Linked DNA regions of Anolis sagrei. The protein of the gene in region 1 purifies or fractionates together with the protein of each later gene. This does not show direct contact. Links are inferred from orthologs where the notes say so. Each region holds a gene or a part of one and is shown on either strand. Other genes may lie near its edges.

The links.
Region 2: the proteins of RCAN1 (region 1) and PPP3CA purify together in Homo sapiens (affinity purification with mass spectrometry; 5 studies listed by BioGRID and IntAct, counting the BioPlex papers as one, with this or other methods). This does not show direct contact. The link is inferred for Anolis sagrei from reciprocal best matches to the Homo sapiens genes RCAN1 and PPP3CA.

Annotation. Positions count from the first base shown.
Region 1 is NC_090023.1:70,562,403-70,569,554, reverse strand, and holds the start of RCAN1 (calcipressin-1), read left to right. Parts: upstream 1-4,139; 5' UTR 4,140-4,425; coding exon 4,426-4,671; intron 4,672-7,152. UniProt on the Homo sapiens protein: Inhibits calcineurin-dependent transcriptional responses by binding to the catalytic domain of calcineurin A. Could play a role during central nervous system development.
Region 2 is NC_090025.1:27,072,184-27,079,873, reverse strand, and holds the start of PPP3CA (protein phosphatase 3 catalytic subunit alpha), read left to right. Parts: upstream 1-4,679; 5' UTR 4,680-5,331; coding exon 5,332-5,389; intron 5,390-7,690. UniProt on the Homo sapiens protein: Calcium-dependent, calmodulin-stimulated protein phosphatase which plays an essential role in the transduction of intracellular Ca(2+)-mediated signals. Many of the substrates contain a PxIxIT motif and/or a LxVP motif.

The sequences.
Region 1 (7,152 bases):
CATAGGATCAATCATAGGACTCATGACAGATGGCCACACAGCCTCTTTTTAAAAACCTCAGAGATGGAGACTCCACCATGCTCCAAAGCAGCATAATTCCACTGTCAAACAGCTCTTACTACCAACATTCTTTTTATGTTTAGGTAGGATCTCTTTTCTTATATTTGAAACCATTACTCTCTATTCTGGTCTCTAGAGAAGGTGAAAACAAGCTGGATCCATTTGCAATATGACATTCTGCAAATATTTAAATATGTCTATCATGTCACCTTTGAATCTTTCCTTCTCCAGACTATTCAAGTTCTCAGTTTGACTTGGAGGTCTGTATAGTAATAGTAGTAGGAGTAAAACTTTATTTATATTATAGTAGACCTCCTCACAATTACATCCCTGTTGTTTCTTTCTCCTTTAATTTCTACCCAGATCCTCTCAACTTGACTTCCAGGAATTAGGTCATGAGGCTCTTCACAGGTGTGAAAATCTTTGACCAAAAGAATGCTATGCCTCCTCCTTTCCTGTTTGCTCTTTTTTCCCAAAATAGATTATATCCCTCTATGATCACATTCTAATCATGAGACCCATCCACCAGGTTTCACCTAATAGATTTGTTACAGTTCTATTTTGACTGTCCAGCAAATGCCGCTGGAGTGGGGTAACAACAATAACACAATGCTACATAAAAATACTGAAAAACAAAGCAAAAAGAATAAACCATACACTGTCTCATTCAAAGGCTTAATAAGCAAAGGTAGTGCCGAGTGTGTGACTTCATAGAAGTCACATTCTCTCAACCTAAGGGGAAGGCAATGGTATGCTTCTTCTGAACAATTCCTTCCAAGAAAGCCCAGTGAGAATTTCACTTTAGGGTTTCTATGGGTACAAAAAAAATCGAGGGCACAAAACCACAATAATAATAGGAACTATTATTGTTCCTATTCCAAGTCCAAGAAAAATTGTTCTTGGACTTGGAATTCTGATTCTGAGATCCCCCAATTTCCCCATCATCTTTTGTGTACCTAGGGTCCTTCCACACAGTCCTATATCCCAGAATATCAAGGCAGAAAATCCCACATTATCCAAGTATGGACTCAGATAACACAGTTCAAAGCAGTTATTGTGGGATTTTCTGCCTTGATATACTGGGATGTAGGGCTGTGCGGAAGGGCCCCTAGACTAATTGTCACACTAGAGAAAAAATCCATTTAAAATCCAGTTTCTGCCTCCTGTAGAATTCTGGGGTTTGTAGTTTAGTAAAGCTGTTAAAGACTCCTCCCAAAATTACAAGCCCCAAAATTCTGCAAGAGGCAGAAACTGGATTTTAAGTGGATTTTTTCTCTAATGTGATGAAGTAGTAAGCTAGAACAGCTTCCTTGTATCAGAAGAGAATATGGAAAGTAATGTTTTAAAAACAGCTTATTGGCATTGCTTGTTGTGTTGTTTTTTGTTTAGTATTCCAAAAGTAATATCTTGCCAGAACTCATCTTTATATAATACAATACAAAACTGACCAGCACAAAACATAATTTTAAAAATAAACCTCTTTTTCTGTTTCTTAGTTTTCCTTACTGGAAGGGAAAGAATGGTGTAAAAGAAAAGGTAATTCCAGTAAAATGCCTAGAAAAATCCTTTTGAGAAATAATCTTAAATCATGACTATAAAACATTAACCGCTACACCAATAAAGGTAATGTGATTCCCAGGTGTAGTACTTTTGAATATAACTTCAATGCATCATTGTTACTCACAGAGTAAGCAGAAGTAACTACTTTGCTTGTAACTCATTAATTCCCAATTCGGTGTCAGATTAGCAAGGTAAATGGTAGAGAAAAGGACCCTTTCTTTCCACAAGATAAATAGGATGTAGAGAAGAAAGGAAGGGGGAAGCAGAAGTTACAAGGGTTGATTGCATCTTGGTTCAAATATTAGAAAGAAAGGTGGAAAGTTCAGCAGGACACAGCATAAATAAGGAGATCAGATAAAGAAGAATGGAAATGGGCGAGGACTCTTTCACACTCTTCTGCTTACCAGACAGCTATTTAGATGCCATTTCCTCCATATAACACAATACACATAATGGGCCATCTAGACAATAGCATCAGTTTTTCCGTTCTTAAGTTCTTCAGAGTATTTGATGTAGGAAATCAGATACAAAGAAAAAGGGCCTGTCATCACTTACTTTACTTCTATAGTATTATAGGCCCTGGTATCTGTTGTACTGTGTAAAGCAGTGGTTCCCAACCTTTGATCCTCCAGTTGTTTTGGACTTCAGCTCCCACAAATTCCTAACAGCTGGTAAACTGGCTGAGATTTCTAGGAGCTTAAGTCCAAAATAACTGGAGGACCAAAGGTTGGGAACCACTGGCGTAAAGGCATCCCAACTGAAAAGAGTGCTATATGCATTGCTCACATATTTATCTTGGTTATTTATTTATTGTGTCAAAAGAAAATTGATAATACAGTTATAATGTGTAGAAAAACCACAAACAAAGTTACAAACTTGGCATTCTATTAAATACCCTTTGACCAGTAGCTGGCCACTTGGAGTGCCTCTGGTGTTGCTATAAAAAGGTCTTTCATTGTGCATGTAGCAGGGCTCAGGCTGCATTGTGGTTTGATCTTTGCCACAATCACATGTCGTGGACTCCACTTTGTAACCCCATTTCTTAAGGTTGGCTCTGCATCTCGTGGTGCCAGAGCTCTGTCTGCTCTGTAACTTCCAAGTCACCCAGTCTTCTGTGTGTCCAGGAGGGTCTCTCATCTGAATTTTTTTTTCATGTCAGGAGCGACTTGAGGAACTGCAAGTCACTTCTGGTTCGAGAGAATCGGCCGTTTGCAAGGACGTTGCCCAGGGGACGCCTAGATGTTTTACCATCCTGTGGAAGGCTTTTCTCATGTCCCAGCATGGGGAGCTGGAGCTGACAGAGGGAACTCAACCCGTTCTCCCCGTATTCAAACTGCTGTCCTATTGGTCAGCACTGAGGTTTAACCCATTGTACCAGTGGTATCAGCCACTTTTGGACTCTTGCTTGCTGAGGTGTTTCTGCAAGTATTTATCCTGGTGTAGGAAGTAGAATCTACTTGAGGAACATTTTTTTCCCTAATGGATGCCTACTTTGAAAGTACTTCCATTAGTTGATAGGGAACAAAATCTTGGGAGAAATTATTTCCATGTGTGTATTTCCTTAGTAACCACTCGGTGGCGGTGTTTGATCACCTATTTAAAATATGTTTTTCTTTTAGAACAGTTTTTTTAAATATTCTAATCTATTCCAGGGTTTATAGCATCATAGTCCAGGCTATATGGCCATGCTCCAGAAGCATTCTCTCCTGATGTTTTGCCCACATCTATGACAGTAATCCTCAGAGGTTGTGAGATCTGCTGGAAACTAAGCAAGTGAGGTTTATATATCTGTGGAATAATGTCCAGGGTGGGAGAAAGAACTCTTGTCTGTTTGAGGCAAGTGTAAATGGAAGTGTAAAAAAACAGGGGAATTCCAATCAAGAATCAATCAGGGCCAGCTAATGCCTCCCCACAAAGGATCCCCCAGGCAGCAACCAGCCAGGCTTTGAAGCTAAAAGGCTACTAAATGCTAACCAAGGTGACCAATTGCAATATTCACACTTGCCTCAAACAAACAAGAGTTCTTTCTCCCACCCTGGGCATTCCACAGATATATGAACCTTACTTGCCTAGTTTCCAACAGACCTCACAACCTCTGAGGATGCTTGCTATAGATGTAGGTGAAATCTCAGGAGAGAATGCTTCTGGAACATGGCCATACAGCCTGGAAAACTCACAGCAACCCAGTAATAACCTCTGAGGATGCTTGCTATAGATGTAGGTGAAATCTCAGGAGAGAATGCTTCTGGGACATGGCCATACAAACTCACAACAGCCCAGTAATAAACTGCCTCATAAAGCAATGTAGATGGGGCCAGTATTAAAGCAACCTTGAAGGTACATCTCCCGAAAGCGTCTCTTCAAAGGGCCAAGAAGGGGGGAAAACGGCCGGCGGTGGAGACCTCAGTAAGGCAACACAAGCTGGAGGTGCCCTCACCCAAGATGGCGGAGGTGGAGTCGGGACACTTCTAGGCAGGACACCGGTTGAAGGCGAAACGGAGCACTCTGATTGGCGGAGTAGGCGTCAGTGCGGGGCGAACGCACGGTGCCCTCATCCAAGATGGCGGCAGGAGAGGAGGAGGAGGAGGCGGAGGCGGAGCCGGGCCCCTTCGAGTTGGGTCACCTGTTGAAGGGCCCGTCGAGCGGCGTGATTGGCTCGCCCCAAGAGCCTGCGGCCTCCCTTCCCGCCTCGGCGTCGATGGGATAGGGTTAAAAAGCCGAAGCCCTGGGGGCGGCGAGGCCTCGCTCTCTCTGTGTGTGTCTCTCTTTGAGGTACCACCCCCGGCTCCTCCCCTTCAGCCCGGCATGGAGGGGCTCGAGAGGCGGCGCGAGAGGGAGGAAGAAGGAGCGGCGTCAGGAGGAGGAGGAGGAGGAGGAGGAGGAGGCCAGGAGGCGGCGGCGGCGGCGGCGGGAGAGGCCAAGGCCGCGGAGGAGCCTCTGGACTGGACCTTCGTCGACATGGAGACGGCGATGTCGCTGCAGGACCTGCCCGCCGCCCTCATCGCCTGCAACCTACCGCTGGCGGTCTTCTTCCCCGACGGACCCAGCAGGGTGAGACCCCCAAGGCCCGCCTGCCCCACCTTGGCATTCATGCTGCAGAGGCGCTTCTCTGGCAAACTTGGGCCCTCCAGGTGGGTTGGGCTTCAACTCCCACCATTCCTAACCGCCTCAGGCCCTTTCCTTTCCCCCCTCAGCCGCTTAAGCGGCTGAGGGGGAAAAGGAAGGGGCCTGAGGCGGTTAGGAATGGTGGGAGTTGAAGCCCAACCCACCTGGAGGGCCCAAGTTTGCCTGAGCAAGAGCATGCCATTACCCTCAAGGCACATCACAGTGACTATGCCTTTCACTGTGGTACTGGTCTGCAGGATTTCCAGGACACAGCTAACAAAACATTCAAATGAGCTGTTCAGTAGTGGAACTCTCTGCCCCAGAGTGTGGTGGGGGCCCCTCCCCTGGAGGCTTTTAAAAAGAGGCTGGAGGGCCTCTGTTTAATTCTTCCTGCTTCTTGGTAGGGGGTTGGGCTGAATGGCCCACCAGGTCTCTTCCAACACTATGATTCTGTGATAATCACCACTGCAGATCCCTCACTCTTTTAGCCAGTCATTTTATGCGCACTGTTGTGGTCATTTAGTCAACTGCCACAAATACTTGGGACCAATAGAACTCTAGAGTTGGAAGAGACCCTAAGGGCCATCTAGTCCAATTATCAGCCATGCAGGAGCCCCCGGTGGCGCAGTGGGTTAAACCCTTGTGCTGGCAGGACTGAAGACTGATAGGTCACAGGTTTGAATCCGGGGAGAGTGCAGATGAGCTCCCTCTATCAGCTCCAGCTCCACATACAGGGACACGAGAGAAGCCTCCCACAAGGATGGTAAAAACATCAAAACATCCAGGCATCCTCTGGGCAACATCTTTGCAGACGGCCAATTTTCTCACACCAGAAGCGACTTGCAGTTTCTCATGTTGCTCCTGACACGACCAAAAAAACAAACAAATAAACAGCCATGCAGGGAGTCCCAGTTAAAGCACCTCCGGCAGATGGTATCCAGCCTCTGCTTAAAAGTCACTAGAGAAGGAGGTCCTACCATGTTCCAAGGCAGCTTATTCCACTGACGAACGGCTCTTACCATCAGTGGCTTCTTCCTATTATTATTATTACCTTTATTTATATTTCCCACCTTTCTCCCCTTGGGGACTTGAGGCAGCTAACATCTATCCCTGGCATGGGCAAACTTGGGCCCTCCGGGTGTTTTGGACTCCAACTCCCACAATTCCTAACAGCTGGTAAGAATTGTGGGAGCTGAAGTCCAAACCACCTAGAAGGCCCAAATTTGCAAGACCATGCCTTTATCTTCAAGTCACATCACAGTAACTATTCCTTTCATTGTGCTACTGGACACTAACCACAGCTAAACATTAAAATCACCACTGCAGCCCCCTTGCTCCTTTAGCCAGCCATTTTATGCTCACTGTTGTGGTCATTCAGTCACCTACTACCAATACTTGGGACCAACAGAACCCTAGAGTTGGAAGAGACCCCAAAGGCCATCTAGTCCAATCCTCAACCATGCAGGGAGACCCAGGCAGAGCACTCCCAGCTATCCAGGCTCTGCTTAAAAGTCTCCAGAGAAGGCGGTCCCACGATACTCCATGGCAACCTATTCCACTGATGACCAACTCTTACCATCAGGAAGTTCTACTACTACTACTTATTTTGATTTATATTTCCTGCCTTTCTCCCCATAGGGACTCGAGGCAGCTAACATCTATCCCAGGGATGGGCAAACTTGGGCCCTCTGGGTATTTTGGACTTCAGCTCCCACAATTCCTAACAGCCAGTAGGAATTGTGAGAGTTAAGTCCAAAACACCTGGAGGGCCCAAGTTTGCCCAGGCCTGATCTATCCACACTAAAGAGTTAAAAAAGAGAAATACAAAAAATAAAAAACAATTAAATAATAGTGTGGTAAAGACAGAATGAAAATACAGCTAATACATTAAAATGGCCTTTAGAACTCTTATCTCCTCTCCCAAACCCCACCCACCCTCCCTCCCCTAATGTTTAGGTGGAATCTCCTTTCCTGCAGTTTGAGACTATTGCTCTGTGTCCTAGTATGTGTTGTGATATGTTTCATGGCTACTCATATTCTGTCCTTTTAAATACGTGTTCTGGCTAGTCTATGTAGCACTGAAACCCTTTTAAGCCAATCCCATCAAAAATTATGCAAGTTTTCAAGATACCAGCTTCTTTTCTTTGGGTATGCTATTTTGAAAGGTGAGAAAGGGCGCAGAATGTGTCCTACCCAGCATGTGGCCTCATGATATAACACACCTGCAGGGTATTATACTGACAATTCTCCTTATATAATAAATGCATAACAGTTTGCATAAATTTATTATAGCTCATGGTATGGTGTATATGTTCTTATGGGTGCCACATGGCACATGTTATTTTACCGCATGGCTGGTAGGCATAATGTGCAGTGAAGGAATAGAAGAAATGTTCTGTGGAAAATTAGACTCCTTCCTGAGAGACA
Region 2 (7,690 bases), on another chromosome or scaffold:
TAATAATAATAATAATACTAAGATAAGGAGACAGTACAGCTGTTCCCTTCTTCTCCCCAAGGTCTCCCCACAGTCTCCTCCTGCATCTGGAGGAATTCAGCACCATTCAGCACCCTTTCCTTTAGGGCAGCGTTTCTCAACCTAGGACACCTTTGGGGAGGGGGTCGCGAGGAGGTTTCAGAGGGGTCACCAAAGACTAGGCATGTAGCAGGGGGGAGGCTTGGGGGGCTTCAGCCCCCCCTGAAATTCTCATGGTGGTCCACGAGTAGGCCTTACTGGTACATTATTTAAACTTATGTTTATTCATATCATGATCTGATCACCATGATCAATATATCCCATATACATGGGGGTATTGGGGTAATGATACAAAAGGTTTGCTAGGGTAGACTCTTTCATTCAGACTCAGCCCCCCCCCCAAAGACCATTGTTGTTGTTCATTCGTTCAGTCGTCTCTGACTCTTCGTGACCTCATGGACCAGCCCACACTAGAGCTCCCTGTCGGCCATCACCACCCCCAGCTCCTTCGTCAGTCCAGTCACTTCAAGAATTCCATCCATCCATCTTGCCCTTGGTCGGCCCCTCTTCCTTTTACCTTCTAATTTCCCCAGCATAATTGTCTTCTCTAGGCTTTGCTGTCTCCTCATGATGTGGCCAAAGTACTTCAACCTTGTCTGTAGTATCCTTCCCTCCAGTGAGCAGTCGGACTTTATTTCCTGAAGGATGGACTGGTTGGATCTTCTCGCAGTCCAAGGCACTCCAAGGCAGTCCAAAGACCATTAGAAATATTGGTAATAGTATGGTAATAGTATGAAAGGCTGGGTCTGGAAGCTCTGAACGTTACGCTGTTTCCGCTTTGCTCGAAGGGGAGCGCTGTTTGCGCAACGCTGAATGGAACACAGATATTGTAGAAGGAATGTAAGAGTTCTGTAATGGTAAAACTCTTACCCTAAACCTTACTCTAACCCAGTGGTTCTCAACCTGTGGGTCCCCAGATGTTTTGGCCTACAACTCCCAGAAATCCCAGCCAGTTTACCAGCTGTTAGGATTTCTGGGAGTTAAAGGCCAAAACATCTGGGGACCCACAGGTTGAGAACCCCTGCTCTAACCCTAAGTCTAGCCCTAATCCTAACGCTACCCCAAACCCTAAACCTTATCCTAACCCTCCCCTCCTTTCTATCTTTCCACCAAATGCAACTACAAAGTATATTCCTGCCTCTGTTGCAGAATATGTGTAATGCTCGGAGTTTCCGGACCCAGCTATCATACATAGCTGGGTCCCAGCTATCATACATAGCTGGGTCCGGACCCACATATTTTTTATGGTCTTAGGAACTCTTTTGGCAGAGAAGGCTAAAGATCTCTCTGCCTGTTCTTCTCTTTCTTTTTGGAGGCAGACAGTGAATCTTCCCACCAAAAGCCTTCCTCTGCTGTGATTGTCCAGCCTCTCAGCCAAGGGGAGGGTTGCTTCTGAGACTTCAAGCAGGGAGGGGAGAGCAGGCGTGCTTGGCACATTGCAGTATGGTGTGCATGTGCGGGCAAGGGAGAGCATGTAAGGCTGGAGGGAAGCTCATGCCAGTGAATTCCTTCTCTTCAGCTTAGAAATGGAGTTGAGCACCACCCCCCAGAGTTGGACACGACTAGACTTAATGTCAAGGGGAAACCTTTATTTTTATTATTGCTAATCTAAAACCTGGAACCTCAAGCCATGGCTGATACCGAATAAGGGTACTTCTCCTGGGTACACAGAAGACTTGATCAATGTTAAGGTCTATTTCTCCCAAACTCCACCAGTGTTTACATTTGGGCATATTGAGTATTCGTGCCAAGTTTGGTCCAGCTCTATCATTGTTTGATTCCACAATGCTCTCTGGATTTAGGTGAACTACAACTCCAAAGCTTGAGGTCAATGCCCACCAAACCCTTCCACTATTTTTGTTGGGTCATGGGCATTCTATGTGCCAAGTTTGGTTCAATTCCATCGTTGGTGGAGTTCAGAGTGCTCCTTGATTGCAGGTGGACTATAAATCCCAGCAATCACAACTCGCAAATGACAAAATCAATCTCCTCCAACACCACCAGTACAGAAATTTAGACATAACAGGTATTTGTGCCAACTTTGGTCCAGTGAATGAAAGTACATTCTGCATATCAGATAGTTACATGACGATTTGTGTTGTCGTTCATTCTTTCCGTCGTTTCCAACTGTTTATGACCTCGTGGACAAGCCCATGCCAGAGTTCCCTGTCAGCCGTCACCACCTCCAGCTCCTTCAGAGTAAATTCAGTCACTTCAAGGATCCCATCCATCCATCTTGCCCTTGATCGATTCATAGCAGTAGCAAAACGACAGTTATGAAGTAGCAATGAAAATAATGTTATGGTTGGGGGTCACCACAACAGGAGGAACTCTATTAAGGCGTCACAACATCAGGAAGGCTAAAAAATACTGTTATTTGTGACATTTATATCCCACCCTTCTCACCCCGAAGGGGACTCAGAGCGGCCATATATATGTATGTATGTATGTATGTATGTATGTATGTATGTTTTATATACCGGTCTTCTCACCTCCGAGGAGGGACTTAGGCCGGTTCACAACATGTGTTCATGTACAGTAATATACAAAATAACACAATGCATCATCATTATACATTCAAATATAAGTACAATAAAAACATAATCATCACATTACACAAGCCAAGTTGTCAATACAGTCACAACTCATCGCCATCCTTCCATGTGGACAAGGGTTATTGACTCAATCTTCAAATGCCATATTCCAAAGCCAGGTTTTTATTAGTTTTCTAAAGGTCAGGAGGGCGGGAACAGATCTAATCTCTGGTGGGAGGGAATTCCAAAGCCGAGGAGCCACCACCGAGAAGGCCCTGTCCCTCGTTCCCACCAAACGCGATTGGGAAGATGGTGGGACCAAGAGCAGGGCCCCTCCGGAAGATCTATCTATCTATCTATCTATCTATCTATACATACATACACACATATATATATACACACAATATATATATTATGTTATTAGCATAGTACGATATCAGTATTAAATGTTGCTATATTGTACTATACCATTATATTTAATATTATTAGTAATATTACATGTAATATAAACATATTATTATTATATATTATTAGTATTAGTATTATATTGCATTACATTATAATATAATGTTATAGGCTATAGCTCCGTTTAACCATACCCAAACGTCAGGAGAAAATGCCATACAGCCCGGCAGGCCCGTAGCCAGGATTTTGATTCGGGGGGGGGGGGGTGAGTTTGATTCGGGAGGGGGGCTGAATCTGAGTGAAAGAGGGTCTACCCTAGCAAACCTTTTATTTATTTATTTATTTAGAAGTTTTCTATACCGGCCTTCTCACCTCGACGAGGGACTCAGGTCAGTTTACAGCATATATAAAATACAATCATATAAAGAACAACAAGTGCAAAGTCATTACATATTAAAATAGTAAATACAGTACAATAAAACATCATCATTACAATTACCTAAGCCAATCGTCAATCCAGTCATGGTCATATTCATACTCGTAGTCACAGTTCATCATAATTCATCACAGGGAGAGGTTCTAGGTTCAGTCCTCGAATGCCGCATTCCAGAGCCAGGTTTTTAGTGATTTCCTGAATGTCAGGAGGGAGGGGGCAGATCTAACCTCTAGTGGGAGGGAGTTCCAAAGCCGGGGAGCCACCACCGAAAAGGCCCTGTCTCTCGTCCCCACCAACCATGATTGTGAGGGTGGTGTGACCAAGAGCAGGGCCCCCCGGAAGATCTTAATAGCCTTGATGGTTCATAGGGGAGAATCCGTTCGGACAGGTAAACTGGGCCAGAGCCGTTTAGGGCTTTATAGGTCAAAACCAGGACTTTGAATTGTGCCCGGAAGCTGATTGGCAGCCAGTGGAGCTGGCGTAATAGGGGGCTTATGGTCTCTGTACCCTGCTCCTGTTAGCAATCTGGCTGCCGCAGGTTGGACTGATTGAAGCTTCCGGGCAGTCTTCAGAGGCAACCCCACGTTGTATCGTTACCCCAATACCCCCATGCATATGGGATATATTGAGCATGGTGATCAGATCATGATATGAATAAACATAACAGTTTAAATAATGTACCAGTAAGGCCTTCTCCTGGACGACCATGAGAATTTCGAGGGGGGGGGGGGCTGAAGCCCCCAAAGCCCGCCTCACCCACTACATGCCTGCAGCCCGGAGAACTCACAGCAACCCAGAAACCTCTTTTCTCAGACCCCCTTCTCCCACTCTTCCCACAGCCTCTCAGCCCACACGCTTCCCCTCGCCAGCTTCCAGGGCCTGGAGGTGTTGTGTGTGTCGCGCGCCCGTGCGCGCGTGTGTGTACATATCCATCTCTGTGGGTGTGGGTGTGTGTGTGCGCGCGCGCGCTCCCTGGCGCATGACGGCGGCGAACACCTGAGAGAAGGAAGGAAAGCAGGAAGGCGGGCAGTAAAAAGGGGGGGGGGGGAGGGGGTGTCGAGAGAGAGAGAGCGAGGAAGCCTTCCAGAGGCGGAGGGAACGAAAGAAAGGCGGGCGCGGGCTACCCCTTTGACAGTGATTGGCAGCTCGTCCCGAGCCAATGGCGGAGCCGCTCCCGTTTTGGCCGCGAGGAAGGCGGTCCGTCTAGGGAGGCGCGGATAGGCTGCGCGTCGGAGCGGGCTGCGTTGAGTGAAAGGGAGGCAGGAAGGAAGGAAGGAAAGGAGGAGGAGGAGGAGGAGGAGAGCCCCTGCGAAAGAAAGCAAGGGGAGGAGGCGAGGAAGGAGACGGCGGCGGCAGCAGCAGCAGCAGCAGCGACGACGCGGAGGAGGAGGAGGAGGAGGAGGAGGCGGCGAGGGACGGACGGATAGACGGAGCAGGCGAGGGGTCTCTCTCCTCCGCTGCGGACGGATGCGTTGTCCCGCAGCCCTTGTCGCTGGGTGACTGACGCTGCGCCTTTCCCCCCTCCGGGACTTGGATCTCTCTCTCTCGCTCCCTTCCGTTTCTTCGCCTTCTTCTCTCCGAAGGGAGAGGCTTGATTGACGTCCGGAGCGGGGGGCCCAAAGCGAGCACCGAAGAGGAGAACGGAGGAGAAGAAGGAGGAGGAGAGGAGAAAGCGAAGGAGGGACCTCCGCGGAGCCCCAGAAGGGAGCCGGGGCCAGAAGGAAGCCCAGAAGAAGGAGGAGGGCTAGAGACGCGCTTTGCTGCAGCCGGGGGAAGGGCTCCAGCCGCCTCCAGCTTTGTGTCTGGCGCGGGAGAAGCGCCTTCCTCCTCCTCCTCCTCCTCTTCCTCCTCCGCCTCCTGTTCGCCAGGCTGCTGGAAATGTCGGAACACAAGGCGCTGGATCCGAAGTTGTCGACGACGGAGAGGGTGGTGAAAGGTAAGAAGGGGAGCCGAGGCGGGAGAGGGGGGGAGGGGAGGCTTGGGCTTTGGGACCCGGCGCTTGAGGGGGCTGCCAGGCGGGAGATTCCCCCGTGATCCCCATCTCCTCCCTTTTCTCCCCCTCCTTCGCTTTCGGGGGAGACACAAAACGGGGGGGGGGGGCTGCGGCAGGTCTGGTTGCGGTTGCAAAATATGGGTAAGGCTTGTGAGGAGGAGGAAGAGGAAGAAGAAGAGGAAGAGAAGGGGGAAGAGGAGGAGAAGGGGAAGAGGAGGAGGAAGAGGCTTGTGAGGAGGAGGAAGAGGAAGAAGAGGAGGAGGGGGAGGAGGAAGAGGCTTGTGAGGAGGAGGAGAAGGAGGAAGAGGAGGCTTTGTGGGTCTTGGAAGTGGGCACCGAGCGAGGAGTGGGAGGGAGGCAGGAGGGAGGATGCAGCCCACTCCTGCATAGGGTGGCTCCGTGACCAAGGCCAGGCTGGACCTGGAGGCTCCCTTCCTTCCTCCTTTCTCCCTGCTGCAGCCCCTCCATAGCTGGATCCTCCCTTCCTCTCTTCCTTGGCCCTCCTGCAGCCTCTCCATGGCTGGCTTCCATGACCCTCCAAGGATCATGACATGGCACGGGCACAGAGAGAGAGGCACACACTTGCGGCTCCTTCCTCGCCTTCCGCCTGTTTGCTACATTGCAGCAGTCTTTCTTCCCTCCTTCCTTCCCTCCCTCCACTCGCGAGAGAGAGAGGCAAGATGGGGGAGGAGGAGGAGGAGGAGGAGGAGAAGGAGGGGGCAGGAAAACCCTCCGTTTCCTTCTTTGCGGCTGGAGGATCCGGCGTGTGTGTGTGTGTGTATGTGTGTGCGCGCGCTTGGCATCACAGGCGGTTTTCTCTGCCCGCCGCCCCCTTTTGCCAATTCCTCCGGGCCTTTCCGCCTTCTCTCCGCCCACCTCCGAGCTGGAGGAGAAGGAGAAGAAGGGGGAGGGGGAGGAGTGGGAGTGGGCCTGGGCTCCTCTTGGGCGAGATCCCTTCCCTGAATCCCTACCCCGCCCGCCTGCAGAGAAATGCCGCGCCCGCGCTGCATCTCCAGGTTTTGACAGCTGGGGCTCTTCCTTCCTTCCTCCTCCTCTCCTCCCTCCCTTCTTTTCCTTGGACACAGCTGCTTGCTTCTGATTAACAGGCTGCTTTGATGTGAGGCAAGAGAGGACCCCCTTCTCCCCATCTTGATGCCTTCCCTCATTTTAGAATATTATGATTATGATTTGGGCATTTCTCTGTTTCCAAGGCAGGCGAGCCTTGCTTCTGATGATGATCAGGCTGCTTTGAGATGTGGCAAGAGAGGACCCCTCCCACCCTTACCCCATCTTGATGCCTTCCCTCATTTTATTATGATTTGATTTGGGCATTTCTCTGCTTGCAAGGCAGTGGAGCCCAGCCCACACCTATCCACTTGCCACTCTTGCCACCCTCCATTCCTCCTTCCCTCTCTTTGTCTGCCTGTGCCTTCTCTTTCTCTCCCACCCACCTCCTCCTCCTCCATCCATCCATCCTGATGGGAGCAGGCGAGGCTGTGTCACTGCAGTCGCAGGAAGGATCTTTGAGGGATGCCATCCCTTCATGGCTTGGATCTTGGATCCCTGCCTTTCTCTCCAATCTCCTCTTGTTCCTCTCCTCTTCACCCCTGTTAGATTTCATGGGGAAGATGGCAGATGTGCCACCTGGGCAATCCCCTTCCAGCACAAAGGGAACCCAGTGCAATCCATGAGCAGCTTCCCAGCATCATTTGGGACTCTCCCTCCTCCTCCTGCAACCTACATCTCAGTGATGCTTAGCCATCTAGCAGACATGTTTGGCAGTGGTGCATGTTCTTATGAACATATAGGGTACTTGACCATTCCATCGAAATAGCTTGTTTTCTTTTTTGCTTTGCTGCATCAGTGTGTGTGTGTCTGTGTGTCTGTGTAAAGGAAAAGGCTATGTATGGCATTGTGGAGAAGCCACAATGTAAACACACCAGCCTTAGGTCCTATCATGTACAATCTTCATTGGCTGATGTTGGATTTACTTTTGAGTAAATATGCCTAGGTGTGTTGTCGAAGGCTTTCGTGGCTGGAATCACTGGGTTGCTGTGAGTTTTCCAGGCTGTATGGCCATGTTCCAGATGCATTCTCTCCTTATGTTTCACCCACATCTATGGCAGGCACCCTTAGAGGTTGTGAAGTATATTGGAAACTAAGCAAGGGAGGTTTATATATCTATGGAAGGTCCAGGGTGGGAGAAAGAACTCTTGTCTGTTGGAAGCAAGTGTGAATACTGCA